Stegostoma tigrinum: one gene and its partner. The protein of the gene in region 2 interacts with the protein of the main gene of each other region in a biochemical or structural test. Links are inferred from orthologs where the notes say so. Each region holds a gene or a part of one and is shown on either strand. Other genes may lie near its edges.

Evidence for each region.
Region 1: the proteins of pax3b (region 2) and sox10 form a complex in vitro, tested with the Homo sapiens proteins (2 studies listed by BioGRID and IntAct). The link is inferred for Stegostoma tigrinum from reciprocal best matches to the Homo sapiens genes PAX3 and SOX10.

Annotation. Positions count from the first base shown.
Region 1 is NC_081391.1:23,832,204-23,848,825, reverse strand, and holds the start of sox10 (transcription factor SOX-10), read right to left. Parts: upstream 7,169-16,622; 5' UTR 6,974-7,168; intron 6,747-6,973; 5' UTR 6,742-6,746; coding exon 6,356-6,741; intron 1-6,355. UniProt on the Homo sapiens protein: Transcription factor that plays a central role in developing and mature glia.
Region 2 is NC_081367.1:23,443,620-23,460,935, reverse strand, and holds the start of pax3b (paired box protein Pax-3b), read left to right. Parts: upstream 1-9,042; 5' UTR 9,043-9,502; coding exon 9,503-9,590; intron 9,591-10,486; coding exon 10,487-10,719; intron 10,720-12,301; coding exon 12,302-12,431; intron 12,432-13,061; coding exon 13,062-13,196; intron 13,197-17,316. UniProt on the Homo sapiens protein: Transcription factor that may regulate cell proliferation, migration and apoptosis. Involved in neural development and myogenesis. Transcriptional activator of MITF, acting synergistically with SOX10.

The DNA of each region.
Region 1 (16,622 bases), on a different chromosome or scaffold from region 2:
AGGAGGCAGTGGAAGGATTTGAACACAAAGAGGAGAGTTTTAAAAATCAAGATGTTGCTTGACCAGGAGCCAATGCAGGTCCGTGAGTGAGGGGTGGGGACAATGATGAATGACCAGGAGTTGGTACAAGGGAAGGAAAGAAGGGGGAAAGACTGTGCAGTTTCTGAAGCTGGGAGACTGACCAGGAAATCCTTGGAAAATTCAGGTGTAGAGATGACGTGGGTCTCCTTCTGGATTGAGAGTGAGCTCAGAGAGGATTTGAAGATTAGAACTGATGGACAGAAGTCTATAATAAACTATTACAACCTCACTGAAATGTTGGGGGTGTTTGAGGAGACATTGAACTTGCTTTTATTGATGTGTGTCATTATCAAGGCTGTTCTTTTGGCCTGATGTACATCAATTGATCAAATACAACGTGAGAAATTATTCCTTCTGCCTAATTGACAATTAAATAATTTTGCCAAAGCTGCTGCTGATTAAAGGTTTATTGGCCAACCAGATGACTGATTAATTTAACCTCCCACAGTCCTAGTCAGATCAAACCCATTCCATGGATGGGAAGCGGGTTTCGGAATGATTGCTGGATTGAAGAGACTGAAAATCCTCTTTTGCCCCTTGGTGCCCTCCTGCTTTCTCCGAACCCTTTCCCGTGTTCCACGCATCTCCTCATAGCCACATGCCTGGACAGGAGTTACAAGACCAGCTCCAGAGTGACTGAACACCAGAAACCACAGACAGCTGGATTTCTGTCTCCAGCTCCCTACCGGATGCCGGTTACTCACCTTCTTATAAATAGCTGAGAGAGTTTATTTTTGCAAACTCAGTTACATTTTGCTGGTAAGCTGTTCTGATTCCACCCCAAATAACCCCTGCAACATTTTCTTTAGATCAAAAAAAATTGCTTCAGTAGTCGAGAAAACATCCTATTTTTCAGCCCCATCCCATTCATCCCACCCTGCCATTCCACCCCTACCACTCCCAAATCCCTTTTCTCAACTTTAAATATTGTCAGAAATTCAGAAAGTTAATTTTCCTCTTATTTCTTTGTCTTTGGGAATCGTGGGTGTCACTGTCTGGGCCAACATTCCATATGGCACAATTGTGTGGTCACCCAATTGGTGTGGGGAAGGATATTTTCACTCATTGTTGACTTTATCATCTCCAAGTGTCTTGAGGCCATTTCAGGGGTCAGTTAAGAATGAACCACATTACTGTGGGTCTGGAGTCACATGTAGGCCAGACTGGGTAAGGCCAGAAGTCACATGACACTAGATTATAGCCCAACAGGTTCATTTGAAATCACAAACTTCCAGAGTGCTTTGAAGGAGAAGTGATACGAAAGCTTGTGATTTCAAATAAGGCTATTGGACAATAATCTGGTGTGTCATGCGACTTCTGGCTTTGTCCACCCCAGTCCAACACCAGCACCTCCACATCGGACTGGGTAACGGTGGCAGATTTCCTTCCCTAACGGGCATTAATGCATCAGCTCAATAATCAACAACATTTGCTATTTCTTTTTTTAAATTCCAGATTTTCTGAATTGAATTTAGTTTACACCAGGTTGCTGTGATGGGAATTGAGCCCATGTCCCTAGATCATTAGCCTGTGCTTCTGGATTACTCGCCCAGCGATGACACCGCTCCACCATTAGCCCCAGTTAATGCAAGGGTGGGTGTTTGTGGGCAGGTCATGGATACACACGAAGAAGAGTACAGAGATCTGGGGAGGTTGGAGCACTGGATGAGATGAGAAAAAGGGAAGGGATGGGGATGTGAGGCCATGGAGGGATTTGTAAACAAGGATCAGAGGCTTAAAGTTGGAGTGTTGCCTGATATGGGGAGCCCACGCAAGTCAGTAAGACCAAGGCTGATAGGTGAATGGAGGGAGGATGAGGGTTCAAATCTAGCAGCAGGGTCCTGGATGAGGTGACAGTGGGGCTAGACAGTGAGATATCAGTCAGGACAGTAATGGATAAATCAGTTGATCAAAGTGGAGGATAAACATAGAACATTGATCAGTACCTGACGATAAAGTGAGCATTTGAACCAGAACACAATAACCTTCTGCTGATTTATTAGATTAGATTCCCTACAGTGTGGAAACAGGCCCTTCGGCCCAACAAGCCCACACCACCCCTTGAAGCATCCCACCCAGACCCATCCCCCTATAACCCACACACCCCCGAACACTATGGGCAATTTAGCATGGCCGATCCACCTAGCCTGCACATCTTTGGACTGTGGGAGGAAACCAGAGCACCCAGAGGAAACCCACACAGACACAGGGAGAATGTGCAAACTCCACACAGACAGTTACGCGAGGCTGGATTTGAACCCGGGCCCCTGGCGCTGCCCAACCACTGAGCCTCCGTGCTGCTTTCTTTTCCAGTTTGAAGTTTATTATTTTATTCTCTTTAATTACGATATGAGTGAGAAACAACAAATTGCATTTCAATAGCATCCTTTACAACCTCAGGAAATTCCAAAGTGTCACATGACTAATGCATTGTTTTCGAAGGGCAGTCATGGCTCAAATGTAGCAAATGGATTTTCAGGACAGTAAACACATCAGTGAGAAAAATGTGTCAGAGATAATGGGAACTGCAGATGCTGGAGAATCCAAGATAACAAAGTGTGAAGCTGGATGAACACAGCAGGCCAAGCAGCATCTCAGGAGCACAAAAGCTGATGTTTCGGGCCTAGACCCTTCATCAGAGAGCTCTAGAAGGGTCTAGGCCCGAAACGTCAGTTTTTGTGCTCCTGAGATGCTGCTTGGCCTGCTGTGTTCATCCAGCTTCACACTTTATTATCTTATTATAGTGAGAAAAATGTACCTGATTTAAGGGTTAGTTTGATACTACAAAGATAATTGTTGGCCAGGACACAGGAGTAGGGGTGAGATTTCCACTACTCCTCTTCATATCATGGCTGTCAAAATATTCATGTACACTTAACCCTCCGACAGTGCGGTGCTCCCTCAGCGCTGACCCTCCAACAGTGCGGCGCTCCCTCAGCGCGGCGCTCCCTCAGTAACACACCAGGAGCGTCTGCCTGTCTGTACTCTGGGGTGTGTTTCAATTTCAGAATATTGCCAGGTGAGAGTGCTGCCCATGGTCACCCTGACAATAGTGTTTTGGCAGGAGGTGGGGGTTGCAGGGCATAGGGTCTCAGCTGCTTCCTCATGTGTCTATTGGTAATCATTTTGCTTTCTCTCTCAGGTGTGGACAATACACACTATCATCAGAAATTTCTGCCAGTACACCTCATGCAAGCCCCTGATGCTTCACAGCAGCCATGATCTTCCTCAATGGCTAACTGGAATTGAGGGGCTGAATGACTCAGCGTGTTACTGTTCCTCCTCCTTTCACCAGCACAGCTCCCACAAATCACCGCAATGGAACACCCACTTCCACGGTGAGGACCTCTCCTTGGCATCAATGTGACACCCAACATAACACCCTCCCATAAGTGCCTCCACATCCTTTGTACTGAGGCGGTGAGTCACATCCATGGAGCCAATCCAACTTGATCCATCACACCCTCTTATCGGCTAGACGCTCTGATTCCTGCCCAACTCCAGAGGCTCTCCCCTGTTCCAGCACACAGGGCAATCTGGTTAATCCTCATTTAGTGATTTGCTGTTGACTCCATCAATCCCACTGCACTCTCACAGGCAATTTGCACAGAGAGAAAAAGTTGGGTTGGGGGCAGTTCCCCTCTCCTGCCACCCCTCTCTCTAGTACTTGTCTTTGTTGGCAATATAATACTGTCCCCACCACCACACTTCTCCTTCCCTGGTCTCTCCCCAAAGGACATGCCTATGTTTTGCTAGGACTGGTGACGTTATCCTTTCTTGCTTAGGCTTCCCCTCAAACCTTCTGTCCATTTTTCTGCCTCACTCTGCTCCCAATTTCTTGACCATATCATAGAACATAGAACATAGAACATAGAACATTACAGCACAGTACAGGCCCTTCGGCCTTCGACGTTGTGCCGACCTGTCATATCGATCTCAAGCCCATCTAACCTACACTATTCCATGTACATCCATATGCTTGTCCAATGACGACTTAAATGTACTTAAAGTTGGCGAATCTACTACCGTTGCAGACAAAGCGTTCCATTCCCTTACTACTCTGAGTAAAGAAACTACCTCTGACATCTGTCCTATATCTTTCACCCCTCAATTTAAAGCTATGCCCCCTCGTGCTCGCTGTCACCATCCTAGGAAAAAGGCTCTCCCTATCCACCCTATCTAACCCTCTGATTATTTTATATGTTTCAATTAAGTCACCTCTCAACCTTCTTCTCTCTAATGAAAACAGCCTCAAGCCCCTCAGCCTTTCCTCATAAGACCTTCCCTCCATACCAGGCAACATCCTAGTAAATCTCTTCCGCACCCTTTCCAAAGCTTCCTCATCCTTCTTATAATGCGGTGACCAGAACTGTACACAATACTCCAAGTGCGGCCGCACCAGAGTTTTGTACAGCTTCACCATAACCTCTTGGTTCCGGAACTCGATCCCTCTATTAATAAAAGCTAAAACACTGTATGCCTTCTTAACAGCTCTGTCAACCTGGGTGGCAACTTTCAAGGATCTGTGTACATGGACACCAAGATCTCTCTGCTCACCTACACTGCGAAGAATCTTACCATTAGCCCTGTACTTTGCCTTCCAGTTACTCCTATAATTAATATTATCTTGCACTGGCTAGAATATTCACAGTCTGTGACTACTTAATGCTAATTTACATAGGATATGAAGAATTAGAGATGGGAAGTTGACGGATCTTGTTTGCTGTAGCATGACCTACTGAGCTCATTTTCATTTTATTTTGTAACAGGGGTTTAAGAGAGGTGCCACAACACGCATAATTGGCAAAGACAGTTCATCCATTTTCCCCCTTGTCTCTCAGTGTATCCTTCGTTCCTGTTCCCCATTCCCTCTCCATTTGAAGCTTCACATTCTTTGCTCAGTTTTCTCTATCCCTTTTACTTGTTGGAAGATTTTTTCCTCCCTCAGTCCATCTCTTACGCTCACTCCAACCCCTTTTTCCTCCTGTCGTTACCCACCTTTCTCCTTTCCCAATCCCTCTTTCATCTGCTCATTCTGTCTCTCCCTGCTCAGTGAACCTAAGCTTTTCAGCACCTCCTCCCTCACTCTTTTTATATTTTGTACTTTTCAGTTGTCCCTCACAATGTTAGGATGTGGTGGGCATTCCTTGCAGTCAGGAAATGTGGCGACTGAAGATTCATACAGAGAAAGGCTTTTCCTTGCAAATTCCTCCAAACCCAGTTCCCCGGCCCATTCCAATTCAGAATTTCTTCCAATTGGGAATAACAAGACAAAGGTCTGCAAACATTTTGAATGCATCCTCACAGACTAAACAAAGGCAGCAATATTCACAAAGTAATGTTTGCTTTGTATAATTTAGCTGTTCATTGAGAAGTAATTAATTTAATGACAAGCCAGTTGGAACCTGTAAAAGTAGCAAGTAAATATCAGACAAAAAGTTTGGAATCGACGCAGGAAGTTCTGGCAACAGTGGGTTCCTATTTCGGTGTATCTGCAGTCTGCGTTAGATGGAAAATGACTGGCAAATGCTTCTGAAGGACTGGTGCAAAAATCCGGCTGAGCAAACCACTATTTAAATTAGACCAGAGCTCCATAAACGATTTCCAATTCCCCAAAACTTTGTCGCCCCTAAACCCGGCTGAGAAGTTAGCACCTCTCAACCCAGGGCTGAAGAGCTTGATGAAAGGCATTTCGTTTCTCTCTGTCCAGCCTGCCTTACAACGGAAACAAAATGTAAAGCAAAACCCAGAAAGCGCTAGGCAAAAATTCGCATTTGAGTAACACAAACAGCTCAGGTCGCGTCTCCGCGGGCCCTCTATTCGGCTGGAGGGTGCTGGCATCTGAAATGCTCCAAGGGGAAAGGGGTTTTAACCCTCAAGAACTCACCTCCAGAAACACACTTAAAAACAGGTTTGGCTGCATTCGCGGAGACAGAAACAGAGTTAACGTTTCAAATGCGGTCTGCATGTCCTAAATGTTACAACAACTCAAAGATCAGTTCAGCAGGAGAGATATACCAGACTTGAATCATTAACACACACTCTCTCTCTCCACAGATGCTGTCAGACCTGCTGAGCTTCTCCAGCTAGTTTTGTGTTTGTTTCTGAATGTCAGTATCCTCAGTTCTGAGGAAGAGTCACCGGGCACGCAACGTTAGCTCTGATTTCTCTCCACAGATGCTGCCAGACCCCGCTGAGCTTTTCCAGCAATTTCTGGTGTTTTTTCGCTCAGTTCTTTAGGAGATTTTTTTGTGTGCGCGTGTGTTGAACTCACCTCCAGAGTTTGCCCAGAGTCTTGCTAAGCTCCGCGTTGTGGAGATGTGGGTATTGATCTGCTAGTTTCCTCCTTGCGGCCTGAGCCCACACCATGAAGGCGTTCATAGGTCTCTTGACATGAGGCTTATTCTTTGAGGAGCCGTTGACTCGGACCGGCATGGGCACTAGGGTCCAGTCATAACCTTCCAGCACTTGGCTCACCGCTTCTCGGATGCACAGCGGAAATTTATCTTCCTCGCTCTCCCGTTTGCCACTGCCTTCCTCGGTGCCAGCCTGGAACTTTTCATCTCCATCAGGAGCGAGAGAGGATCCAGGAGAAACTACCGACTCATTCTCTGAGCCTCCCGAGCTCGCCACGTCTGACACGCTCCGATCATCCGACATGGTCCCTTCCAAGTAAAAAAATAAACCCGATTACAGCTCGCTAATGGCTAGACACACACACACACACACACACACACACACACACACAGAGAGAGAGAGTCTAGAGCCGCCTTTATAAACATTAATTCATTCCCCGGAACACAAACCCTTTCCTTTTTCAGAAACACAATCAGAGAAGGGCAGAGAGAAGACAAAAAAAGTTTTTTTGGAAGTTGTCAAACTTGATTTGCACCTTAAGATTTGTCAGTGCCAGCTCTTCAGCGCTTGAGAAATTCCAACTAACTTTCTGTGAACGTTCTGCAGGTCCCTCCAGAGTTACAACGCCAGTTCTGTTTTTCTCTTAGTGTTGAAAGATTTAATTAAAGAGCAAACAGTGGGCATCATCCGATGGAATGAGTTGTCCTCTCAGCCCTGGGATTCTCCTTGCTTCCCCCCCCCCTCCCCAACCCTCCCCCTCTCCCTCTCCCCCTCCCCCCCCACTCCCACTCCTCCTCCTCCTCTTCCTCCTCCTCCTGGGGATATTCAACAGCAGAGGCTGCGCAACTCCCAGCTACAGCCGAAGTTTTTGTAAAAAGAAACGTGAGGGTGCTCGGTCGTTCAGCTTTAAATACCATACCCAGCCCCCATTGGCTACTCTGCCTGGCTCTTGGCGCCCCCCATGGAGCTCTGCAGCGATTGGACAGCTCTCCATGGGTGGGCAGGGCTTAGGCGTTAGACTCCACCCAGAGGCGGGGCCCGCTTCATTATCCGGAAGTGTGGAGTGTGCGAGTGTGGAGGCATGTTGAGGCTTTCACTTGTGTAGATGTGGAATTGTGCTCAGAGACCTGTCAGAATCAGGGCGAAGGCCTGCAGATGCTGGACGTTGCGCAGAGAAACTCAGCAGGTCACGCAGCGCCTGTGGAGAGAGAATCAGAGTTAATGTTTCCAGTCCAGTCTGACTGTTCTTCGGTTCTGAAGAACTTAAGAAGCTTTAGAGTCGTACAGCGCGGACACAGATCCTTCAGAGCAACCGGTCCATGCCGAATATAATCCCGAACTAAGCTAGTCCCACCTGCCTGCTCCTGGCCCATATCCCTCCAAACCTTTCCTCTTCACGTACTTATCCAGATGCCTTTTAAATGTTGTAATTATACCAGCCTCCACCGCTTCCTCAGGAAGTTCATTCCACAGTTGAACCGCTCTGTGTGAGAAAAAGTACCCATATGTTTTGTTTTAAATCTCTCTCCTCTCACATTAAAAAAGCCCCCTGGTCTTGAGATCCCCCATTCTAGGGAAAGGACAACGACATGTCACATCCAGAAGATAGCGGGTATCTTTGCAAAAATTAAATGACGTTCCTTGCATACACATGGACCGGATGGAAGTGTATCTACCACTAACTCTGGCATTCATTTCACATATGAACCTCGCTCTGTGTGAATAAGTTGCTCCTCAGGTCCCTTTTAGACCTTTCTTCTCTCACCTTAAAATTATGCCCTCTAGTTTTGAACGCCCCAATCCTGGAGGAGGGGGGCGTGGGGGCACCTTACCTATGGCCTTCGTGATTTTATAATCGATAAGGTTACGCCTCACCCCCTATGCTCCTGTGAAGAAAGTCCCAGCCTATCCAGCCTGTCCAAATAACTCAACCCTCTGTTCCTGGTAACATCCTTGTAAATAAAAACTGAAAGAACTGCGGATACTGTAAAATCAGGACCGAAAACAGAAGTTGCTGGAAAAGCTCAGCAGGCCTGGCAGCATCTGTGAAGAAAAGATTCAGAGTTAACGTGTCATGTTTTGATACTTCCTCAAAACTGGCTTCTTCACAGATGCTGCCAGACGTGCTGAGCTTTTCCAGCAACTTCTGTTTTACGTCCTTGTAAACCTTTGCTGCACGCTCTCCAATTTAATAATGTCCTTCCTATAGCAGTGCAGCCAGAACGCTACACAGTATTCCAAATGTGGCCTCACCAGTGTCCCGTACAACTGCAACATGGCATCCCAACTCCTTAAGTCAGTGGTCTGAGTAATGAAGGCATATATTCCAAACACCCAAGTGATTGTGACAGAGAGATGAAGATTGATTTTGACACATTGGAGAACCCCCTTACTCTTCTTCAGAATAGCACAGTGGGATTTCTTTCATCTCCTCAGAAGGTAGACAGGGTCTTAGTTTAACGCCTCGCCCAAAAGACAGCACAGCACTCCCTCTATTGGGCACAATTATAACATGTAAAAGACATTTGGACAGGTACATGAACAGGAAAGGTACAGAACAATATAAGCCAAGCACAGGCAAATTGGACTAATTTAGTTTGGGAAACTTGGTCGGCATGGATGAGTTGGACTGAAGGGTCTATTGTATGACTCTATGGTTGTTCTGCTGCGGTTTGTGGGATCTTGCTGTGTGCCAGTGTCCTGAGAGTGTTTGGTGGGAACAGTTTAGAGGGGCTTTACTCTGTGTCTAACTCAATGCTATCCCTGTCCTGGAAATGTTTGAGGAGGGACAATGTAGAGGAAGCGTTACAGTTTAGCAGGACCGTTACTCTTTAACTAATCCCGAGCTGTCTCTGTACTGTGAGTGTTTGGTGGGTGACAGTGTAGAGGCAACTGTATTCTGTATCTAACCCCGTGCTGCCCCTGTGCTGAGAGTGTTTGATGGGGGACAGTGCAGCGGGAGCTTTACTCTGTGTCTAACCCTGTGCTGCCCCTGTCCTGGGAGTGCTTGGGGGGGGACAGTGTAGAGAGAGCTTTATTCTGATCTAACACTGTGCTGCCCCTGTGCTGAGAGTGTTTTATGGGTCAGTGTAGCGGGAGCTTTACTCTGTATCTAACCCCGTGCTGCCCCTGTGCTGAGAGTGTTTTATGGGTCAGTGTAGCGGGAGCTTTACTCTGTATCTAACCCCGTGCTGCCCCTGTGCTGAGAGTGTTTTATGGGGACAGTGTAGTGGGAGTGTTTGAAGTTTGCACTGTTGTGGACATTCCACAGCATCCTGAACTGGTCATGTATTGCAATTCCTTCCCTAAACCTTTGGACCAACATCCTCGAACGGATGATCTGGTATCATCGTGGGAGTAACTCTTCAACATGAGCTGTCGTGTTTCAGGATGAGATTTTGTCACTATCTTCTTAAGAGATGGCTAAATATGGGCATGAACAGCCGGACCCGTGAATGAAGCCCACACCCTGTGATTAAATCCTAGCAGATCAGAGAAAAGATTTAGAGCAGAAATATTTCTTGTGAAACATCAACCCTGCTTGCCATTAAGTTACACGGAACCAATTTAATAATTGCCATGAATTAATCTGCACTCATTAAGAAACTGTAGCCCCATTGATTCCCAAACCTTCACTCACAGCTATTTGCGAATTAATTGTTCCATCCTGATACTGTATCCCTTTTGAAGAAGGCACTCATTTTTTTTCTTTCAAAAGACATACAATCGTTTCTTAAGTTAAAACTTCCAAGTGCTGCACAGAGAGATGTGCACACATCAGGACCAACACAAGAATGCCAAATTTCAAGCAATCATAACAATCTATACCATGGTTGGTTGTCAGGTCAACTTTGATTTGCTAAGCTGTTGCCATGGAGAGGAAAATGGGGAACTACAGGCTTTTCAATCATGTGGGTAATTCCAAAAAGGCATAAGGTTTAAGCAGAGATAGCAAGGTGTGGAGCTGGATGAACACAGGCTAAGCAGCATCTTAGGAGCAGGAAGGCTGACGTTTCGGGCCGAGACCTTTCTTCAGAAAAAGGGTCTATTTCCGATGAAGGGTCTAGGCTGAAACATCAAGCTTTCCTGCCCCTCTGACGCTGCTGGGCCTGTGTTCATCCAGCTCCACACCTTGTTATCTCGGATTCTGCAGCATCTGCAGTTCCTACTGTCTCTGATACAGGGTTTAAGCATGTTTCTTTCTCTCAGTAGAGAATGTGCCCTATTTCTGAATGTATGTTGCTTTTAGCACATACAAATGCATGACACCCTGAGTTCAGCTGGGTATCTTATATCGGTTATCAGTGCTGTGCTCTGAATTATTCTGCAATTGTTACCCAAATATATAATCACATCCTGACCATAGATGTTTTGCTTTTGGTTTTACAACAGCAGGATGATTGAGTATAATTTGTGGTCTGCCTATAGCAAACGACCAAAGGAACATGCAGTCTGATTTGATGAGTTGATCACTAGGATTTGTGCCGAATCACCCAGGACTGAAAATTGGACACAACTTTGACCAAGACAATTTCCACCCAATGAAGCTGAGCTGGAATCTCGCTGAAAATGCAGTGAGGAACTACCAGGTTCTCAAGGTAGATCCTAGCTTGGTGTTTGAGCAAGGTCTGTGAATTACCTTCAGTTTCCACTTTTGCCCACTGGTTATCCAGAAAAGAAAGGATTGTAGGCAAGATTCCAAGGCTGGCATTAACCAATTGCCTCACTCTTCCTTTGATTTGCATTTGGACCCGAGGTGCTGAGATGAGGAGGACACTGTGGTATTGAAACAAACAAGCTGCCATGTAATCGCACTCTGAGATGGACCTTCAGGCAAGGTAAAAGAAAATAACTGAATTCTATGTGCTGGCCATTCATGGTTGGAGTAATTTCAGTAAAACACTCCCAATAGCTCAGTAACAAAGTGTGTAGCTGGATGAACACAGCAGGCCAAGCAGCATCTTAGGAGTGCTCCTTAAGATGCTGCTTGGCCTGCTGTGTTCATCCAGCTACACACTTTGTTATCTTGGATTCTCCAGCATCGGCAGTTCCCATTATCTCCAACAGCTCAATAACGCAGCTGACCAGGCTGATTATTTGCAATGTCAACCACGTGGATCCTATTACACTGATCTCCATCGTCCTTCTTTGCTAAGCTCCAGGCCACTGCGTGGTACGGACACGGAAAGGTCCCATCCACTAGCACACAGACCCTGCGTTGATCCTTCCACTACAGTACCGAGGGAGTGCCGCACTGTTGGAGGGTCAGTGCTGAGGGAAGGCCTCACTGTCAGAGGGTCAGTGCTGAGGGAGTGGCACTGTCGGAGGGTCAGTGCTGAGGGAGTGCCGCACTGTCCTGCAATGAATAACACCCCTCTTGACTCCTCAACATCTGTCCACAATTAATAAGGCTCAAATAAAAGTAAAATAATGCAGCTGTGGGACTGTTGGAATAAAAACAGAAAGAGCTGGATAAACTCAGCAGGTCTGACAACATCTGTGGAGAGAAAAGCAGAGTTCATGACTGAAATCCAACAACTGTTTTTCGGAACTACAAGGCAAAGTCAGGAGTGTGATGGAATACTCCCCACTTGCCTGGACGGGTGCAGCTCTAACAATAACCAAGAAGCTCAACACCATCCAGGACAAAGCAGCCGCTTGATTGGCACCACATCCACAAATATCTACTCCCTCTGTCACCGACACTCAGTAGCAGCAGTGTGTACCATCTACAAGATGCTCTGCAGAAATTCACCAAAGATCCTCAGACAGCACCTTCCAAACCCACAGCCACTTCCATCTAGAAGGACAAGGGCAGCAGATACATGGGAACACCACCCCCTGCAAGTTCCCCTCCAAGCCACTTACCCTCCTGACTTGGAAATATATCACCATTCCTTCACTGTCGCTGGGTCAAAATCCTGGAATTCCCTCCCTAAGGGCATTGTGGGTCAACCCACAGCACATGGACTGCAGTGGGTCAAGAAGGTAGCTCACCCCCACCTTCTCAAGGGGGGCAACTAGGGACAGGCAATAAGTATGAGGCCAGGCGGTGATGTGCACAATTGAAAACAAAGTTTAAAGGACAGCGGGGAGTTGGTATGGTTTAGTGGTATTTTTGCCTGTGTTTGAATTCTGCCATGGCTAATGATGGAGTTTGAATTCTGTCAAAAATCTGGAATTAAGGTTCTAATGAACCTGGTGTCATATGTCAGGAAAATCCTGTCTGGTTGTTGGAGGGAAGGAAATCTGCTCGGGTACACCATCCACATTGGTTTTGGCCTACTCATGGCTCCAACTCCCCCCTGGGCAAATAGGGATGGGCAATAAATGCTGGCCTAGCCAGGGACGCCCACATCCTGTGAATGAATGAATAAAAATGGGTGAAAAGGTCACTTGCGCTGTAACATTAACTCTGATTTCCCTCCACAGATGCTGCCAGACCTGCTGAGCTTTCGCAGAAATTTCTGTGTGTGTTTCTGATTTATGGCTTCCACAATTCTTTCAGTTTTTATTTAAAACGATTCTTATCCATTTCTGAAGTGTAATGGAATTAACTTGTACAAATTGGAGTTGTAGAATAATTACTGTTATTGATTCTTTCCCTAACCTCTCCAAGTATTGAAGAATCATGACTCGATCTTTTCATTACTTTGTAAATATGTGAGATCACGAGGTGGGTTTTGTTTTGAGCTATTTGAACATCCTTTCAAAGCATCAACCCTTGCGTTACATCTTTTGTGTGTGCTGGACTCATCAACTCTTCCTACACATGCTTCCAGCTGCTATGTTTGCCCTCTTGTAGAAAGGAAACTTTTTTGACCTCTAGCCTAAACATGCTGTTTCTGGTTCTGATTGGATCAGCTCCCAGTCTCAACCTTGCTCCTTCCACTGCATCATCACCACATCTTCTCCCCTTTCTTCTCCTGTTTTCAGATAGAAGGAATAGGGAGGGGTTTCTCTCACAATTTACCTTTAATGAGGAGTGAACCCTACATTCTGAAGGAGCTTGACAGTGCTGATGCAGAATGGATGTGACCCCGTTCTTAGGGAGGGACTGGATTCGAATCAGGGACACTGGGCTGAATCTTGTCAAAAAAACAGCTGAGTGTCTATTCCAGGGAATTCCATGGAGACTTGCCCTCCATGACCTCTCTCACTCAATTCTCTTGCCATGCACTGATCCCATTTTTGTAAATCTATCGGCACCTTGTGACATCGCCTCCCTGATCAACATTCCCTGTCATTGTGGCTACAACATTCCCTGTGGTTAACACCCATTGATCTCTCCCTAACACAGGCAGAGCACAATGCCATGTCATTGCCGAATCTGGCAACAGCACACTTTGTAAAGACTTCAGTTGTTAAAGCTTTTTCTTTAAATTAAACAACAAGGAAAGTGAGGAAAGTACAAGCAAAAATACCGCTGCATTCGTGCCTGAGAGTAAATGGGCTGTGATTGGCAAGTATATTCACCATCAAAGCATTTTCTAATCAGCCTGTTCAGGGCTGTTATTGCACACCCATGGAGCACACTCATTAGAACCTCAGCTTTATGGTCTGGAGGAGGGACACTACCATTGCATTACCTAAACTTACAGTCAGCGAGCGATCACTTCATCCACCTCAGGTCCACTGGATGTCGGTTGAGTCCTGCCTGGGGTGTTGCACTCTAAACTGCAGCACTCTATCCTGTCGAAGATGATGTTCCCCCTGCATCACATTCCCATCTTCATCCTCAGAAGGCTGCTGCTGTTCTTCAAACTCTTCAGAGTCCATCCATCCCCTCTATACCTGGGCCAGATGACTAGGCATACATCGCATTCGCAGGGGGTTCTTGAGGCCTGTCTGCTCCATGATGGGGAAAGATAGAATCAAGATGGGCCAAAAGGCATCTTCTCCTCAAAAAATTGAGCCATTGAATGGTTGCAGATGTAGGAGGCCTGGGCTGGGTTAGACTGATAGGATTTGTGGGTTTGCTCTGCAATAAGCAACAACACTTTGGATGATGACCAATTGGGAGCCAGTTTCAGAATGGGGGAGAGTTTCTAAAATTGACCCTAACTCAATAACCTGTCCCCCCCACCCCACTGACCTTCCCCGGCCTCCCCCCAGTCTACCTCGTGACCCTAAACATTTCCCCACTCAATCCCATCCAGCTCTCCCCCCCTCATCATTACCTTGCTCAACCTCTTACCCCAGTCACCCCCTCACCCCCAACCCTGCTCACCTGCTCCCCCCTGCACATCCCCTCACTCCGGTCACCCCCTCACCCTCAAGCCTGCTCACGCCCTCACCCCGGTCACCCCTCAACCTCAAACCTGCTCACCCGCTTACCGCGGTCACCCCCTCACCCCTGCTCATACCCTCACTGTCAATTGACTCAATCCTTCACTGCTTAACCCTTCCCAACTGGTCGCCCCTCAAACCTTCAACCGCCCCTGGCCCTCAAACTAAACCCCAGTGCAACCCTCCGGAACACGAAGCCTCAATGAGAAGCTACCCGTGTAATGAGGGTTAAAGGTCAGCATATAAAACCACTCCCTTATTTAGACACAATGCCATCATGGCCCCTTGGATCCAACAAACTTTGACAAACTTCCCCAGCCCTTCCCCTGACTCTGTCAGCGAGGAGGCCTATGCTGGGAAGGTGAAACATTTGTAATGCCCCTCTGAAGGATGAGGTGCTGGTGACAGTGAGAGTGGTTAGTTTGCAACACAGTGAAGCTGCTGGCATTGTGATGCCAGCCGGCCCCCTCAGTGCCGGCCTGATGAAAAGGCATCATTTGAGGAGGTGCCCCGTGTGGGAGAGCCAGTGGGAAGGCGTTGATAAAGAGCTACAGTTGGGTCCTTTGTCTTAGGTTCATTCCCACATCTGCACAATCAGCAGAGCAATGGACAAAGTCACTGGAGGCCAAAGACAGTCGGGATCACAACACAGACTGTGTAACCACCTCGGCATTAACTCGATGATCCCACGTCATCAGAATTTCCCATGATTTCTGCAAAAGGAGAGAAGCTTGTTTTCGTTCTGCTTTTGACTCTTGCCATTCACCAGGATGACCCCATGATCATGAATATTTCATCTTAGTGTGAAATCAATCGATAAATGTGACATAGGGCTTTGTTTATTTCTGGTGATTTTTTTCCAAAATAAGGAAAAGAAGGAATTTCACACGTGGGTTGTTACAAGTAAATAAGTTGGAGTTAACCATGCCTTAAGGAGCATTGCAAACTGAGGCAACAGGAATGATAAAGCTGGAGTTTGGTTGTGTGAAGTGGCGTAGTGTAAAGGTGGAGAAATAAAATTGAGATGCGGAATCTAACGGAATATAGAACAGCTTGGAGAGGCTGAAATGCATTGTCCTCTTTCTAATTTGCCCAGATCACTGTGAAAGGGCAGTTTATAGAAGCATTTTATGCCTTGGAATCAAAGGACACATCTAAATACTTCTTCAATGTTATGAGGATTTCTGCCTCTATCACCCTCACAGGCAGTGAGTTTCAGATTCCCACCACTCACCCGGGTGTAAAAGTATATTAAGTCTCCCCTAACCCTCCTGTTCCTTCCCTTAATTCTATGTCCCCTGGTCATTGATCCCTCCACCAAGGGAAAAAAATTCCTTCCTGTCTACCCTATCTATGTCCCTCATAATTTTATACTTCTCAATCATGCCCCTCTCAGTCTCCTGTGTTGTAAGAAAAACAACCCCAGTCTATGCAATCTCTTTTTCTCACTGAAGCTCTCCAGCCCAGGCAACATCCTGGTAAATCTCCCCTGTATTCTCTCCAGGGCTATCACATCCCTCCTATAATGTGGATTCCAGAACTGTGTTTATATTTGTAGTGATTGGAACCAGGGCCGGGTGGCTCCATTGACTATGAGACCCTTAATTGGGGTTGCTAGCCTGGCCCAATCAGGGAGCCCTGGCTGACAGATATAAACAGGAGATTCAGAGAGTCTCCTTAGTCCCGGGCCCGGCTATGAGCTGGTGGTCAGAGACCTGTAAATAAGGGGTGGTTGGTTGATGGGATACTGGCCCCCAAGCAGTTATTGCAATATTATACCCTTATAGTTTGTTATTATGTAAGACTGGAAATTTCTGAAGCTTAAATGAGGCAGCAGCATCAAAACCCCATTTTCTCCTTGCTGCTATCCTACGAAACAAGAGTGTTTCAGTAGT
Region 2 (17,316 bases):
AACATTGGAAATCCTTCATCAATGTCAGAGAGGAACGCTCGTGTTTCAATTATTTACTTTAGCAGTCATTGGAACTGGTCTGTGAGTCCATAAGAAGGACAGAATTGATTATGAAACTGAGACCAATTATACTTTTTAAACACACAAATGCAAATAACAACTCTGCTATTGCTGCTAAACTAATTCTTATGTTTGAAATCCTTTATTGTGCTTCAATATCTTTTTCTTAAATGGTACAGGTATGTCTACTCTCTAATTTCCTTTAATTGATAATAATACAGACTCAGATCACTGAACTATGCAATAAATATCTTTCTGTTGATATCCAAGCAGTTTCCCTGCTCAAATATCTTCAGTCAATTGGTCATTGTTAATGACAACTTCATATGCAATTTTATTTTGTTTTAAATTATTTTTGAACAATATTAGAACATGGAACAGTACAGCACAGTACAGGCCCTTTGGCCCATGATATTATTTCCTAGTTTATGCACCATTGAGATTTAAGCTCATATTTTATGTTTCACTTGGTTAATTAGTATCTTTTTCCATGTTTGAATAATAAATGTGTACTTCTGAATTATGATGCTGAACTTTGCTGTGCCAAAGAGCTTTTTATTTTCTGAAGAAGGGCCTCGACCTGAAACGTCAGCTTTCCTACTCCTCTGATGCCGCTTGGCCTTCTGTGTTTATCCAGCTCTACACCTTGTTATCTCAGATTCTCTAACATCGACAGTTCCTACATTTGATACATTTTTATTCAATTGGTTTATTCAGCGTTTTACAGAGACTATTTTCAAGTATAATGACTAATTATTTTATTGAAGTAATGGACTCAATAATTTTATACAATGTGCACTTATTAACTTTTAACACAATAGAATATCTCATAGTGCTTTTCAGAAGCATTCTCATGTAAAAATTGACATCAAACCACAACTGAGATATTAGGGTAGATGGCCAAAAGCATGGTCAAAGACATAAGTATTGAGGAGCTTCTTCAAAGAGGAATGAGATGGAAAAAAAAATGTTCAGGGAAAGAATTCCAGAGTTTGATGTGTTGGCAGCCAAAGCATACCTATCCAAGTGGAGACAAGAACGTTGGATCCAGAAAAGGTAAACAAAAAAGGGAAAAAAAGAGGGAGGTAAAGTATAATGGAAGTGATAGGCTAAAATTTGGAGTTAATGTTGATACAGCATAACTTTTACCAATATGGCCTGAAGTGAAGAAATGCAAGAGGGCTAAGGTCTGTGTTTGAGACTGGGAGTAAATGAGAACAGCATTTGGAAAATTACAACCATGTGCCTTTAGATTTAATAATTCATAAAAGTTGATGGAAGTAGTGAATTATATTACTCGTGATAATTAGCATGTTTCTCCATACACTACAGTTATTCTGCTAACAGTTGTGTCATGTTTGAAAGCCTCTTTTTGGTTGCATTGTTCAGGATTCTACATTGGACACTTGATTGAAAACAGATTAAGGGGAGATATGGTCCAGCTAAAGTTGTACATGGTGACAGTACAAATGTTTGGAGAACAGCACAAAAGGAGAACATTTGGCTCATTATATCCATAACAGCTCTTAATTGGAGTAATCTAATACTAATCCTATTGCTTTAATGCTGCTGGTCTGTATCTTCCTCTGCTTCAAATACTTAGCTACTTATCTTGTAAACACTTCAACCATTCCCTATGGCAAAGAATTCCATGCTCCAATAATCTTCTAAGAAATTTCTCCTTACAATTCTATTGACAATTCCATACTGCTGACTCCTCAACACTCAAGCTTCAATCAGAGGGAAGACTTTCCCTATTCATATGATCCAAAATTTAATAAAGCTTTAATAAATTTTCTTGCAGCCTGATCTGTATCTTTGGAAAAAGATACGCTTCATAACTGCAATTTTTTTATTCATTCATGACATATGGACTTCACTGGCTAGCCAAGCATTTATTGTCCGTTCTGATTGTTCTTGAGAAGATGGTGGGAGGCTGTCTTCTTGAACTGCTGCTATCCACATGGTGTATTTACACCCTCGTGAGGGTGGGAATTCCATGGTTTTGACTCAGTGGCAGTGAATGAATGGCATTATAGTTTCAAATCAGAATGGACAGTAACTTGGAAGAGAACTTGCAGACGGTGGAGTTCTCATGCATCTGTTGCCCATGTCCTTTGAGGTGATAGTGATGGTAGGTTTGGAAGATGTTGACCAAGGAGAATTGGTGAGTTACTGCAGTGCATCTTGTAGATGGTACACACTGCTGTGACTGTGGATTGGTGGCAAACAGAGTGAATCTGGAAGGTGGAGGATAAGATGCTGTCAAGTGGGCTGCCTCAACCTGAATGATATTTAGCTTCTTGATTGTTGTTGGAGCTGCACTCATTCAGGCAAGTATTACACACCTGACTTTTGTAAAAGGTGGACAGGCATTAGGGAGTCAGAAAGTGAGTTATTTGCCTCAAAATTCCAAACCTCTGACCTGCACCAAGCACTGTAACTGTGCCCTAGTTATAACCTTGCACAGGTTTTTCATTACTTCTTTACACTTGTACTCTTTTGTTACTTTTAAAATGCATGCATATTCTTTAATGGCTTTATGTGATCTCTAGATTGTTCTGCTCATGCTCATCCTTTCATGTTCTCCTTCATAAGCCTACTTCCATTCCTTTTTATTCCTCCAAGAATAGATAATTGGACATGTCTCCATAATAAATTTGACTAGCCATTCTGCTTACTTGCTTATTCCCTCCTGAAACTTATATCGGGTCTCCCTATTGTTTTGCAAACCTCTCTTTTTATATTATGGCTAAGTTTGAAATTCTGCTGGCTATACATAAATCTAAATGGCTTAAATGTAACAAGATGAAAATGGACGTAGCACTGAAAGGTGCATTTCTTCCACTCTTTTTAATACGAGCAATACATATTAATATAACACCCCGTTTCATGTCCATAGACTAAATTTATATCTACGTAACTCAACTTTTATACCACACACCAGCATTTTTCTGACAAGATTCCCTTCAGACATTTTATTGAGTTCTCTCAAAAACATGTCTCAACCCTGCTGCATTCGCTTTACCTGTACATGCCTAAACAAAATTAATTTGCCAAATATTACCTTGCTGCTGATGTCCTTGATTGTCATAAAGTTCTGAAAATGTAAACTGGTATGACAGTAAGACTTTTAAAAGTTTACCTACAAGTAACACAACAATAACTGTACTATAATTACCTAACATATCCTTTTCTTTCTTCTTGAACAGGGTCTACCCTTCAGGACCTCTGCATTGTTTCCATATCTATGGATAATGTAGAAATGTAGTCAGAACCTTTCTATTCCATGTTAAATTCCTTCCACTGTTCCATCCATAAAGTTAGAGTCTAATGAATTAACCATTTGAGATCTGCTCGGTTCTGAATCCTTTCCACAATGTTCCAGCTTATTCTCCCATAAGTCAGTAGTCTCTACTAATCTTAAAGTTGACTCACAGTTAGTTTTCATTATGTTTATACTATATTTAGAGACACGACAATTATATTTATCCCTGAGCAACGCAACGTTCTTTTCCAATGTTCCTTTACTCACACTATGTTTATAAGAATCTTTCCAATTTCCTTTTTTATAATTGGTGAGCCTTTTATAGTTTTCACAATTTGGCATTGTGAGCCTTAGTTTTATCATATGGCTTTTTATACTAGTTTTAGTTTGGAATTTTCTTCTTAACCAAATATCCCACAGTTTGACATTCTACTTTATAATATAGCCATGTTGTATTCTTATCACTTCATATTTGAAGATTCTCCACTGCTGCTCAGTTGTTGTATTTACTAATGTACCTGTTCAGTCAATTTGGACAATACCCATCTTAGAGTCATGGAGATATACAGCATAAAAACAGACCTGATGGTCCAACTCTTCCATGTCGACCAGATATGCCAAATAAATCTAGCTCCATTTGGCCCATATCCCTCTAAATCCTTCCTATTCATATACCCGTCCAGATGCCTTTTAAATGTTATAATTGTACCAATCACCTCAACTTCTTTTGGCAGCCCATTCACTACACGTACCACCCACTGTGTAAAAGGTTGCCACTTAGGTCCCTTTTAAATCTTTCCCGTTTCACCTTAAATCTTTGCTCTCTAGTTTTGAACTCTCCCACTCTCTGAAAAAGGCCTTGTCTGTTTGCCCTATCCATGCACCTCATGATTTTATAAACTTCTGTATAGTCACTCCTCTGCCTCTGATGCTGCAGCAAAATAGCCCCCCTTCTATTCAGACTCTCCCTACAAGTCAAATTCTCCAACCCTGGCAACATCCTTATAAATCTTTTCTGAACCCATCCGAGTTTCACAACATCCTTACCATTGTAAGGAGGCCAAAACTGCACACAATGTTTCAATAGTGGCCTAACCAATGTCCTGAACAGCTGTAACATGACCACTCAACTCCTATACTCAATGCACTGACCAATAAAGGCAAGCATTACAAAAGCCTTCTTCAGCACCCTGTCTACCTGTGACTCCTGGCAAAGGGTTTCGGCCCAAAATGTTGACTTTCCTGTTCCTTGGATGCTGTCTGAGCTGATGTGCTTTTCCAGCCTCACACCTATGACTTCACCTTCAAGGAACTATGAATCTGCACGCCAAGGTCTCTTTGTTCAGAAACACTCTCCAGGACTTTACCATTAACTATCTATGTCCTGTCCTGATTTGTGTTTCCAAAATGCAGCACCTCACATTTATCTAAATCTCATTAATGTTTTAATTTCTGTTCCAATCCTTCACCCTTTCATATTTGTTGCATATTCCTTTGTTTTCACGTTGAATATCAGAGTGCTGTGATTGCTTTTTCTCACATGATCTGCTGGCTGTCCAGTTATTTATTTTACTTTAAATGTTGACATGGTCCTGGGAAATGTTTTCTTGTGTTAGAAATATAACTAGATTGGATTGGAAAATGCACATGTATTTAAATGTAAAATTAAACTGGTAAAGTAGCCAATTAATAATATTTTATTACATTAGTTGTAAAACACAAAATGTTTTGTATCCACATAAATAGTATCCAAGTATTAAAAATTTTCTTGTATTCAGCAAAAAAAATCTTTAATGCTTGGATAAACCATCCAGCCAATTAGATGATATGGGGTCTTACTGAATCCAACAGTTGCCAGGTTTCTTGAAACTAGTGCTGCTGATTGCTGCTGAATGATTTGAAGTCACACAGTATCCCATTTACTCCTCACCCAGCACTTTGAGGTATCTCTGTCAGAGATTCACACATTGCCAAAAACTGGAGCTGGCCTAGACCCTCTTTTGAGATTCATAATCTGATGTACTACAATTATAATATAACCAAACTACTGCTGCACCTTTCTTTGTAAGGTACTGACGTTCTTAATTCATTGCTACAATGTTTACTTGACAACAACACCTAGGAGCTCACTTGATTTTCTTATCGGAAGGGGGGATCTTGAGGAGTCGGTAATCATATTTGCTGAATATACCCTTAATTGTAAAATGCATGGGATGGATATCTTGAAACAAAGAATTGAATATGGTCTGTAGAACAATGGACATGAGCAAAATGAAACTTTCTTCCTCCGCACGTTATTTTATTATTAGTTTATCTTGCTACAAAAGCTTTCACCCATTTTGTTTTGAAATTTGCAGAGCCAGTTCCAGAAACTAAATTGGATCCGTACAGAAATGCACTGTTAACTTGTAGTAGAAATTCATTTTGGTAGAACTGGATACAGCAGTAAATAATGACTAGACTTTCCCAGGTGGAGTTTTTTTCAATCTGATGCACACTGTTGGAATAAATATATTTTCTGCCTCCTGGTTGGTACAGTCTTTAATCCAGTTGCAAAACAGCATTGATTTCTTGATAGAAAACTATCCCTAGTTTAAATGTAATTGACAAACTCAACAAGGGAGCACCAAGCATGATTTCAATGAGAAACTGACATAATGTTTTCACGGTGGAATGGTGAATGCTATCCTGAGTTTGGAAATTAAAGTATATTCTTAAAGCAGAGTAAAGTAAGTTTTACTCTGTATTTGGCTGTGCTCTGTATACTCTGGTACAGTTTGTTGCTGTTATTAAGTTTTTCTAGATAGATCAAGTTTCATTTCCATAATACCAAAACTCCTTGCCTTGTTGAATATAAAACATTATAAATAAACCCCACTCACTTCCAGGCAGATGTATACGAATCACAAGAATAAAGTAAACTTTGCTGTCTTTATGCTTCTATCATGCTGAGTGAAGATACACATTGAGAATCTGTTGAGATGGAAATAGTATCAAAAATAGTCTAGGAACTCTTAAAAAAAACTGTTGTCTTGAGGTTGTGGTTACACCATCATTAGAACACATTGATTGTATTGTTGATATGTAATCCTTAGCCATCAAGAGTAGAATAATTTTCCTTTTATTTATAAATAAAACTCTGTAATTAAAAAAGTTAATATTGAGTTCCAAAAGGTTCAATATGCTAAAAATGTCAGTAATTATCATGTTAGTTTGATGAATTTTTTAATTTTAAATGCTACTTGTGAGTTTTGTTTGAAATTGATTTCTTGAATTCCATCAAATTGCTGTTTGCATATGTTAGTTCTCGCATGATTATTACTTTATTGCTATTATTACATAAATATATTTAATTTGAAATACTGATGCTGTGTCATTTATTAATTGTTAATTAATAAATTATTCTGATTAATTGTAGCAAAGGTGCATGAATGGTTTCCTAATAATTTTGAGGGTTAGAATTCTGAGTAATTGTGCCAATTTCTTATAATCTAAACTTAATAGAGTTTTAAAAGATCACTGTGTACTTTGCATAACAATAGTTTGAATTATAATTGGACGACAGCGAATAATTATAATTATGCTTGAAATTAATTGTGAACGGATAACTGAGACAAATACTATGTTAAACAAAAACAAGTCAAAGGCGTTTGTAAATATGTGACTAAAGGCATAAATTGCTAATATTTCCAAGGATTAAGATAAACGAACTGTAACAGTTTCAATGTATTCTTTTTAAATTAAAATCATAATCCTAGGTTAGAACGAATGGATAACTAACGAGATGTTCAAACAGAACGATTTACTTGTAACCCTCTGTTGGAAGAGCAAAAAGCATCTTATTCGTGAAATGTACTCCCTCCAAAAGCCAAAACATCCACACATCAAACAAATGCAGTGAACATCAAAGACTTGTTCAACTTAATGTACAACTCCGAAAATTCCGACAATTTGTGTTTAAGATCTTATTATTACAAGATATTCCCGTTTTAACCAATCGACACGCAGTTGCGAAAAAAATTCTGAGTGAAACGAAAGACATAACGTTGTTTCAAGTTCTTCTAAAAGACCATATTTGCATGATTGGTATAACTCGCAGTGTTCGTATTCACTCCAATTTCAGTTCTAGTTAAAGGGTACCTGGCCTTGAAGGTCTCCTTAATTTTTGAGATTTATTTCGCTGTCTGTTATGTAATTCAGATTTTCTTGCTTACATTAATGACAATTCTGACATTCATTTTTACTTAAATCCCTTTGCCTTTTAATATCATTTACTCCATCCCTAAAATTAGTGCATTTATTATATGCAATAACAGTCGTATCGTTTACGAATACAGTTTTGATTTCTCGAATATTTTGCCAACTAATGCTATATAAAGATCCACACTCTAAACGTGTACAATCAAACCTCTGATTTTGTCTCCGTTGCAGTTTTGTAAAGTTAATAGACAGTGCACATTCATGTAATTCATTTACGCAGTCAAAAGCAGCTAATTTAAGAGAAAAAAAAATCCAGTTGCTTCTGATCAAAAGTGAGATGAAGAATTGAGAAAATTTTCCTGGAGAAATGTGGTTACAGTAATTGGTTTCTGATTCAATCCCCCAAATGCGGGGACCATTCTTTATCTGCACTGGTGATCACTAAACAGGATGATGCTGTTTCAAGTGCTGGTTTTAAATAACGTGAAAAAAGGGGAATTAATATAATAGCCAGTGACTCTTTTTTAATCTTTTTTTGTTGCGTCACTTGATAATCATTGTGTCCTCGCATAAGAGAACAATTGTTGAGATTAAGAATCAGTAAGTGAAAGAGATGACTTTTTGCCAAAAGGAGGTTGTTGCAACCGTCTCCCAAACAAAGCCTAGTTTTAACTATCTCATCGTTTGATTGATTAAGGCTTTGGATAAAGTTCCGCGCCAGACTGACAGGGTTTTTTGAATAGCCACTTCCAAATAAAGCCCACTTGGATGGCTGTGCTTGAAGATCAGAGTGTACAGGATGAGTTTACTGGCAGTTACCAAGTGATAAATAGAGGACTCAGACAATAGTACCTTCTCTGAGGACAGACGGGCTTTACAACAGTCCTGGCGTCATATCCTGCTGTGGCGCTTCTGCTCTCAGCCAGAGCACTTCTTTCTCTCTTTTTTTGCTTCTTAATAGTACATATATAAACCCCAGAATATGTGAAGGCTTGATTAGTCTGTGATCATCACAGTGCCCTGCCTTTTACCTGAGAGGCTTTTGTTTTGCAGCCCTCAACCTGCAGTGGGACTGTCCCACAACGCGCCCCCAAACAGCAACTTGATCCTGCCAAAGTCCAGCTTGGTTTTAAGAGACCTATAAGCAAATAATTGTTGGTGAATTGCATTACAAATAATCGCTTATAATATCTACGAACGATGTGCTGCCTTCAGAGGCGTTCTTGACTTGATTCCAAAAGCAGAGTTTGCCCTGAAGGCACTCTACTTTATTGTGTAAGGAGCAGCTAAAGGACGCATTTCTAGATCAGTGGCCCGATAATGAATGAAAGCTGTCGCGAAAGGCAACAGGACAGGTTGCTTTAGCTGCGGCAGGCGCACGTTCACTTTTGTATTTAAAAACCATATTTTTTCCAGCGATGGGGAAGGAAGATTGCGCGGATTGGCCAATGAAAACACACGTCTCCACAGAGAAGACTCTCGCCTATCCGCCAATCAGAAAGCAGGGGTCTCGATGGAGCCAGGGGTGGAAGAACTGATAAATTCTCCAGGTCACCGTCCCAGCGACTCCTGGCTGTGACTCCAACTCCTAACCCTTGGACCACAGTTGTACCTGTCACACATACGCAGAGCAACAAAACCGACCATCAGCACCGACTTCCGAAACTTCAGGAGAAAAACTCAGCCAACTTTCTTCAACAACCACCCCCATCACCGAGCCCCCCCCCCCGCCCTTCCCTCACTTCCGTCGGAGTGTTTGGGGGTATCACATCTGCTCAGAACTGAAACAACTGTACAACTTGCCTGAAGTCAGCTAGCCTACGTGGATTTACCTAAAAGTGGTCACACATTTCCTTTAAAAATAGATTTTCATTTCCCCCTTCTCCCTCTCCTCCTCCTCCTCTCCCCCTTCCCCTCCTCTCGCCCCCCTGTCGGCAACGCACAGGAAAATCTGGGAACTGAACGCCTTTAAAAATGAGCACGTTGGCTGGACCCGTCCCAAGAATGATGCGGCCAGCCCCGGGACAGAATTACCCTCGCAGCGGCGGGTTCCCACTGGAAGGTGAGCCGCACATGCTTTAACTGACTAAGCACATTCTGGGGTTTCTAGTCCAGTTCTTTAAAAGACGCCGTTAGTCGCGCAACCGCAGAACCTTAACTCTTCTGTACGAGGCGAAAACAATATGAGGCTTTCCCTCTCCAGATTGTTTCAGACGTAGCTGTAATTGTCTTGGCCTTTTCCGGGAGAAACCCTTTCCAAAGTTTCTCGGAGATAAAGGGGCGTTCTGCGATTATTATGTTCGGTGTATCCAGTGAGTAGAATCGTACTGCGACTTGAACTCTCTTGTGAGCGCAGTCGTGCACCAGATACACCTTAAAGTTTAACGGAGACACTCTGTGAAATCAATCAGAAACAAAACTCCTTCGCCGTTTCAAATACCTTTAAAGTTTTGCCTTGACCACATGTGAAAAAGCGCTGGGTCCAATCCCTGCGCTAGACAGTTCATTGTAAACACGAACTGCGTCGGATCGGTGAATCTTCAAACTAGATTTAAAAGAAAGTTGAGATTTTCAGTTCCTACATAGAAGTTTGGAAGGCGTGTGTGGGATGGGGGAGATGGTTGAATATATATTTTAACTATTGCAGTGGTAGAGTTGGGATAACGTCCCCTCATACCATATGAATGTACAACTTCAGATCTTAGATCCAAACGTCACCATTCAATGTTAAAGATTATTGTAAAGTGACAGCTAGGAACGAGGACAAATTCTATACCAAAAATCTATTTTGTTCCAGCATATCTCCCGCAAGGGAATCGAGTAAGGTACAGAAATCCCACTGTCCACTGATGTGTTCTTAACAACGTTGTGATATGTTTTGATTTCCTCTCCAAATCGCTGTTTGTTCGGTAAAAATTTCAACACATTTATTAATGCTGCCGTTTTCACTGCAAATAGTGTCAACGCCTTTAGGTCAAGGGAGAGTGAACCAGCTCGGAGGAGTTTTTATAAATGGCCGGCCTCTGCCAAATCACATCAGGCACAAGATAGTAGAAATGGCCCATCACGGCATCAGACCGTGTGTCATCTCCCGGCAACTGAGGGTCTCCCATGGTTGTGTCTCTAAAATCCTGTGCAGATACCAGGAGACGGGTTCCATCAGACCAGGTGCCACTGGGAGCAAACCCAGGGTAAGTCGATCTAAGCTCTTCTGTTATTTTATCAAATGCTTGCTTGATGAAGTGTTGGAATTTGGTTGATGTGAGTTACCGCATCATGAAAGGCATTGCGCTCGTTCACCTGAAAAGTGTGTCCGAATGGAGCTGTTGTCTCTGCAAGCTTTTCGAATGCGCTTTAAACACAGGCAAGTTAGATACTCTGAAACCACCTGAGGAGTGTAGTATCGTCTTTAGAACTGAAATTCACATCCCGTATTTGCAGAAAGCGCCCTAACATTTACACTGCCTATGTGTACAATCGTAAGACTCACGAGCGACTGTCATTATCAAAGCGTAGCAAATAACATGAGCTGTTTTTATCCAAATGTCGCTATTTCAATAAAGCTGAAAGTTCCTGGAACAGAATAATTTGACAGACATAGCCCACGTCGTTCAAACCCACTTATTCAACGCGGTTTGTTGAACGATGCAGTAACATTTGATCATCCGAATCGGGAAACAGGTTAGGCAATCTGAGGGACCAAAAACTTAAAACTCCTTCAAAAAAACTGAGGGCACGTGTAGCAATGAAAATGCCATAACTAAACTAGCGGGATTGCAAAGATGTAATCTATTTAACTATTGGATTCACGATTCGTATTCGCAAAAATAATAAAGCTCAATTTAAGGTTCACTACAGTAACGTATTCAGATTGGATTTATTCCATACCAGAAGAATCAGTTTTTTTTCATTCTCGCCTGATATGCAATATATTACATAAACGTGCAAGTTGTTTGATATTTTCTTTGTGTATGTCCATAAAATTAAAATTTTGCTCAACCCTTCGGTGGGGAGTGTTGCATTAGAACACATGAAATTAAGGGAACTCTTGAATAATTTAAATACCTTTCAGCATTTTCTTTATCGGGTAAACTTTGTTTCTCCACAATCGAGTAGGATGGTCAAACTGTTCAGTACTCGTTTACAACGCCAAAAACGCACGTTATTACTTGATTCGTAGTTTAATTTGTAATATGGATTGTTTTGTCACAGACAATTAAACACGCAGGCTGTAATGACCAACGATCATTATAATATAGCCCATTAAACACGGAACTTGTACAACAGCTCACCGCATTTTCAATAAAGCGCCTGCAAAGTTCAAGTGCTGACCTACAGTTGTTAACAATCAGTAAAGCGTTTGCACCCCGTTTTGTTTGTTCTTTTTGCCCTTACGTTCACTACAAGCCAACTTCATAAAATAAATAGTCTGGATCAGTAACCAATTGTATATGCCTGGGAGAAGGGAACTACGTCAAATAAAAGCAACTGACCATATAAACGTTGAAAAGTTCCTGATTTTAGTTTTGTGTTAAATCATCTTGTATGCAAAGTATTTTTTCTAGGATTTTGATGAGAAATTGTAAGGGCAGTAATTTTATGTCGGGAATTATCGGAACTTGAAAATACAGTATATTGTTGCTGATTTAAAATTTGCATACCTCTATGAATGCAAATAAGAAACAGGCCATTCCCCCCCCCCCCCCAGAGCTTATTAAACACAATTGTAAATCACGTTTTATTTCTCTTTTTGTAAAAACATCATTAATAAAGCAAATGGCAATACCAGACGTGGAAAAAAAGATTGAGGAATACAAGAAAGAGAATCCTGGAATGTTTAGTTGGGAAATCCGGGATAAGTTGTTGAAAGACGGCATGTGTGATAGGAACACCATTCCTTCAGGTTGGTTCAGTATTTGTGATTTTTTCGATGGAAACGTGGGTGAAATGGGTAGAAGGAATCTAATAACAATTTAACTAACATAGAGAAATAATTCTTCTGGCTTCATCTAAGCCTGGAACTGCCCGTAAACATGTAAAATGTGTCCAGCTGCGCAAACCAATAAAGAATGCTTAAACAGCTCATGGTTTTAACGAATTGCTTCAAGTAGGTTCCGGGCTTTAATGCATCCAATTAAAATAAATACTGTGTGAATTCACTTTAAGTGAAACATTATTATTTATCAGGATCGTCAGAAAGCAATGTTATAAGGTTATGATAAGCTACCATTTTGCAGACAGGAATTATAGTCTACGTATTTCACTAAGAAAATAATTCATTGCAAGAAATTGAATATGCTTTTGCCACATAGATGTTGATGCTGAAATGTAATCTTTTTATTTTAATTTCATCTTTTCAAGATTAATATTGTTGGGAAAATATTTTTTAAAAGACTAGTTTTATTCGAATTTCTATACTAATGACTGAATCCCACATTATTTGACATTTAACTACGCGAAATATAAAATTTCGTCACTGTTTTAAATTAATCATTTGATCTTTTTTAAACAAAAAAAAATTTCTTCCAACAAGTGAGTTCAATAAGTCGCATTCTGAGGAGTAGATTCGGAAAGAAAGAGGAGGAAGAGGAAGACTGTGAAAGGAAGGAATATGAAGACTGCGATAAAAAGACCAAACACAGCATAGACGGCATTCTGGCCAGCAAGGGTAAGAGGTGGAATTCGTCTCATTACTGGTGTATTTTTAGCAATTCCGAAGTATTAATTTAAATGTTTATTACCAATTTTATTTTTATGGATAGGCATTGGGGAATCCCAGAACGATTATTGCTTTACATGTTTTGATGGTGGGTGGGGGCGGGGTGGGGGTGTGATGGTGGTGCTGGTATCTCTTCGTTTAACGTTGCACCAAAAGAAAAGGTTTTAACCAATTTAGAATACATAGATGAAAGTTCATATACCCCACACTGGTGTAGTAACAATTACACTGCCCGAGACGAATGCGACAAAATGACCACGAGCACACAGTTGCCTGCAGCTGTAAATGCCTCGATGCCCTTAGCTTTGTTTTGTGGTCCTGGTACTTTCCGAAATCAGAGAAAATGGACGGAAGTACTGCTTTCGTTCTGTCTTGTGAGTTTTATTGAGCTGGTTTCGGGTGGTAAACTTTACGCCAAGGTGTTAAAACAATTCAAAAAAGTTATAGCAAAGGGCGGCGATTTCAAAGTTGGATACCCAGCGTGGACAAGCCTTATCAGCACAGCAACCTGTTGATAGTTTGCCGCTTCATTTGTGCGCCAAGATAAAGAGACAATTTTCAACTTTTACTGTTTGACTGCAATTTAGTTTAGAGTTCGGGAATGTTGTCAGGAGGAATGGGTTTAATTCTATACGGTCGGTTTTCGGAGATTGAGAAAGTAATCGTACCGTTTTTACATTGAGTAAAGGACACCAAGAATGTCAACAATTCGGCTATTCTTGCTTCAGTGTTGCCGATTTCTTCTTGACTTTAAAGACATAGAACTCAGTTTGAGATCGCAGGTGTAACGAGCCTGTGGAAACAAACGCTATGAAATAATGTTCTTAATAACAATCCAGTGTAACTGTGAAGGATGGAAAATGATTTTAATATCGATTTCAAAAGTCCAGTAATTAAATTTTAAGCAAATTTGTAAACTTCTGACACCACAACATTTGGCGAAATCCGCGATTTTAAAGCTTTCGTCCGTTTTTGGAATTTGGCACCGGTTCTGAAGTCTCGGACCGATAATGTACGTAGATGCAAAACATCGCAGGACCTTTATCAAAATGTAGATAAACTAGCCTTAGATTCTACTATTTGAAATTGACGATCATGTCGATTTCTCATTACTACATGATTCCAAAAGGTTACGAGAAGTGCGTCAGGTTATCTATGATTTGCCATCGAATTGGGTTATTTTTATCACTCCCTTGAGTTTGAGTTTTGATCAAATCAGATCTGGACTAAATTACTTGATTCCGTTTCGACTAAACCTTATCAAGTCGAGATGATCTATGCTACTGTATTCGAATAGAATCATTCATGTTGCAATATTAGAAAGACATAAAATCATAAATTGTGAAAGAAGGGTTTCCGATAGAAAATCCCACTCTGAGTGAATTATACTTTAAATACATCTGTTATAAACAGTAGCCCTAGAGACAAAAACCTTCTGATGTCATTACATAAATCATTCGATCAATTTTTAAAAAATAAAATAATAAAATAATCTTTTCAGCTGATTGTCACAGAAATGCTGAATCACCACTAACACGCAATTGAAATTGATAAATTTACAGCTTTTGGGTTGTTTCTATAGGTTGAATTTCATGATGATCTATTGAATCCACTCAACCTTTTTCCTTCTGTATATCTTTCGCTACATAGAGCATCCATCTCATTGAGAAATACCAAAGGTACTTTACCAAACAAGGGACATTACCCACTTTACTCCGAATTTTATTTTGCGGGAAGTCAGGGGGTTAACTGTTTGAGAATAACTGTTCTGTCAGCTCCTTCGTCACATCTCTTGGGAACTGCAAGTTGTGTTTAATATGATGCCACAAGCAATAAAACGGGACATCTGTGGATATAAAACGGGACTGTATCTAATAAAAACGAATAGATGGCTCTGTGGTAGGGTAACGAATACACCTCAGTGACCTAACGTGTGTTAACTACCTTTAAAATACAATATTCGTTTTAACGGTTTCAACTTTAATTGTAATTGAAGGGCTGTCAAACGTTGTCTAATACTTGAAAGTCAATGGCATTTCGCAGTTTTGACTGTGGGGCTTTTGACTAAGCAATAGCTCAGCCTAAGTTGCTCAAATTATACAGAACCCAACGTACTTCACCAACCCTTCAATTTTATTTTGTAACAAACTTGAATAATGTAGACTTCAACTATAAGACATTAACGACTATTTAGTATATCAAACTGTCCCTGACTTACTTGCCAATAGTCTGCTAACAATGTTATCTAAAGCGGTTTCGTCTAAAAAAAACGTGCAATATTAATTTCCTGTGTATCGCTTGAATCTCGTCTGAAAAGTGGCTCCGAATGAGTGGCGCAGTCTCCTTGGGCTGGTACGGAACTGGGGGCGACAGTGATGCTACTTGTGAGCAGGTTCATGACGCGTGAGAGCTCGTTTGTAGCCTGCACTGTTTATTGATCAGATTAATATGCCATCTTTGCCATTTGAATTGTCCGAGTGTATATTTAACGAGCTCCTATCTGGATCATAACACCGAGGAAAAAAAAGTATCCCAGTGTCTCATTCTAACTTGTTGGGCATTGTTGCGATTTGATTATCTTCTTTTCCCAACTAACAAAGTACCTTTTCGCAAAGACATGTTTTGTTAATCAAAACATCGAATCTGTTTAAAAAAAAGCTAGAAAACTCTTGGAAAAAGTGTATAAATTTAAGTCCCTTTTAACATTAGCCTTGTGCACAAGCTTTGACACAAAGTGTCGCTTGTTGCTGGAGTCCATAGACCTGCCCGAATTTCGCTGCAAATAGGATCTTGAGTAGACAAAAACGACCAAATGAGCTGGTCAAACATTTGTACAACTTTTCCAGCTATACAAAGAGGTGCTTGAATACACAATCCACACTTGGAGATGAACTTGGAAAACAAAGAAGCCTGAGTCCATTGAAAGTTACACTTTAGGCTTGGCGGGACAAAGCCTATGCCAGTGACAGCTTGGTCGCCACAAAAGAAGGCAACCTTTTTGTAATTCAGAGAAAAAGAAGAACAGAAACCGTCCAAACAAAAGGCTGAGAAAAGACATTATGGGCTTGCAATGAGGGATGAATTATTCAGTGATCTCCAGTAGCAGCCAGTCCTTGCAGTTTTATGGACTCTCTCTTCACCGTGGAAAACTAGCCATTTTCACCTACAAAATGTTTCTTTTGCTATCTTTTTAGACGTGTAAGATGCCGACTGTCATTCAAAAAAAATACAATTGGCATCATTCGATTGAGCGAAGGCTTTGATTTAGGGGCTGGCGTTAGGTTGGAAGGCGAAAAGAGGGAAGAGTGCTCAGAAAGCCAGCGATTTCCTCGAGCAAATAGGCGAGAACTCAGCCTTTACAAACGGCTATATTTTATGTGAGCGACGCATTGCGGATCGGGGATGTGTAAAAGAGCAGTGTTTTTATTCTAAGGTAGTCTCTTCATCACAGTGTCATTAGCTTGAAGGGGAAGAAAACAGTTTGGTATATGGCGGGGGGTGGGGTGGGGTTGCTGTGTGGAATGCCAACTTTCCACTCGAATTATTCCAGTAAACAGTTTAGTAGCGTCCATAGGTAAACACGTTGCCCATTTACTGGAGAATTCCGTCTCTCGCCACCCCCTCGGTAACAGTACCGAGCTGCACCGTCAGCAGTGCAGTTTGTTCACGGGCTCCGCCAATTCATGATTATAACTTCGAAATAGTTCGAGGAAGCGCGTAAGCACAGCGTCTTGTGCCAATGTAAAGTGACTGACACATCGCTCACAAGATCGGAACTAAAGACACTTTGTTAAAACGTATTTATAAATCAACGTTGCAAAGACTTGCCCACATCTACGAGAGTTGGCTGAATGTTGCAAAGTATCGAAAGCCAAGATTTAGCTGCGTTGTAAAATCTATAAAATTTTACCATTGAAGGTTTTATTAAAAAAACAAAGAAAATGACCATTTGGGAACTATTAAGGAGCAGGACGTTCTTGCTGGAAGTGGTTGATAGTTTTTTAAAAATTATCGATGGGGCGCTATAAATGTTTCTGTTATATTGGATGATTCTAAGTGTCGCAGGCTG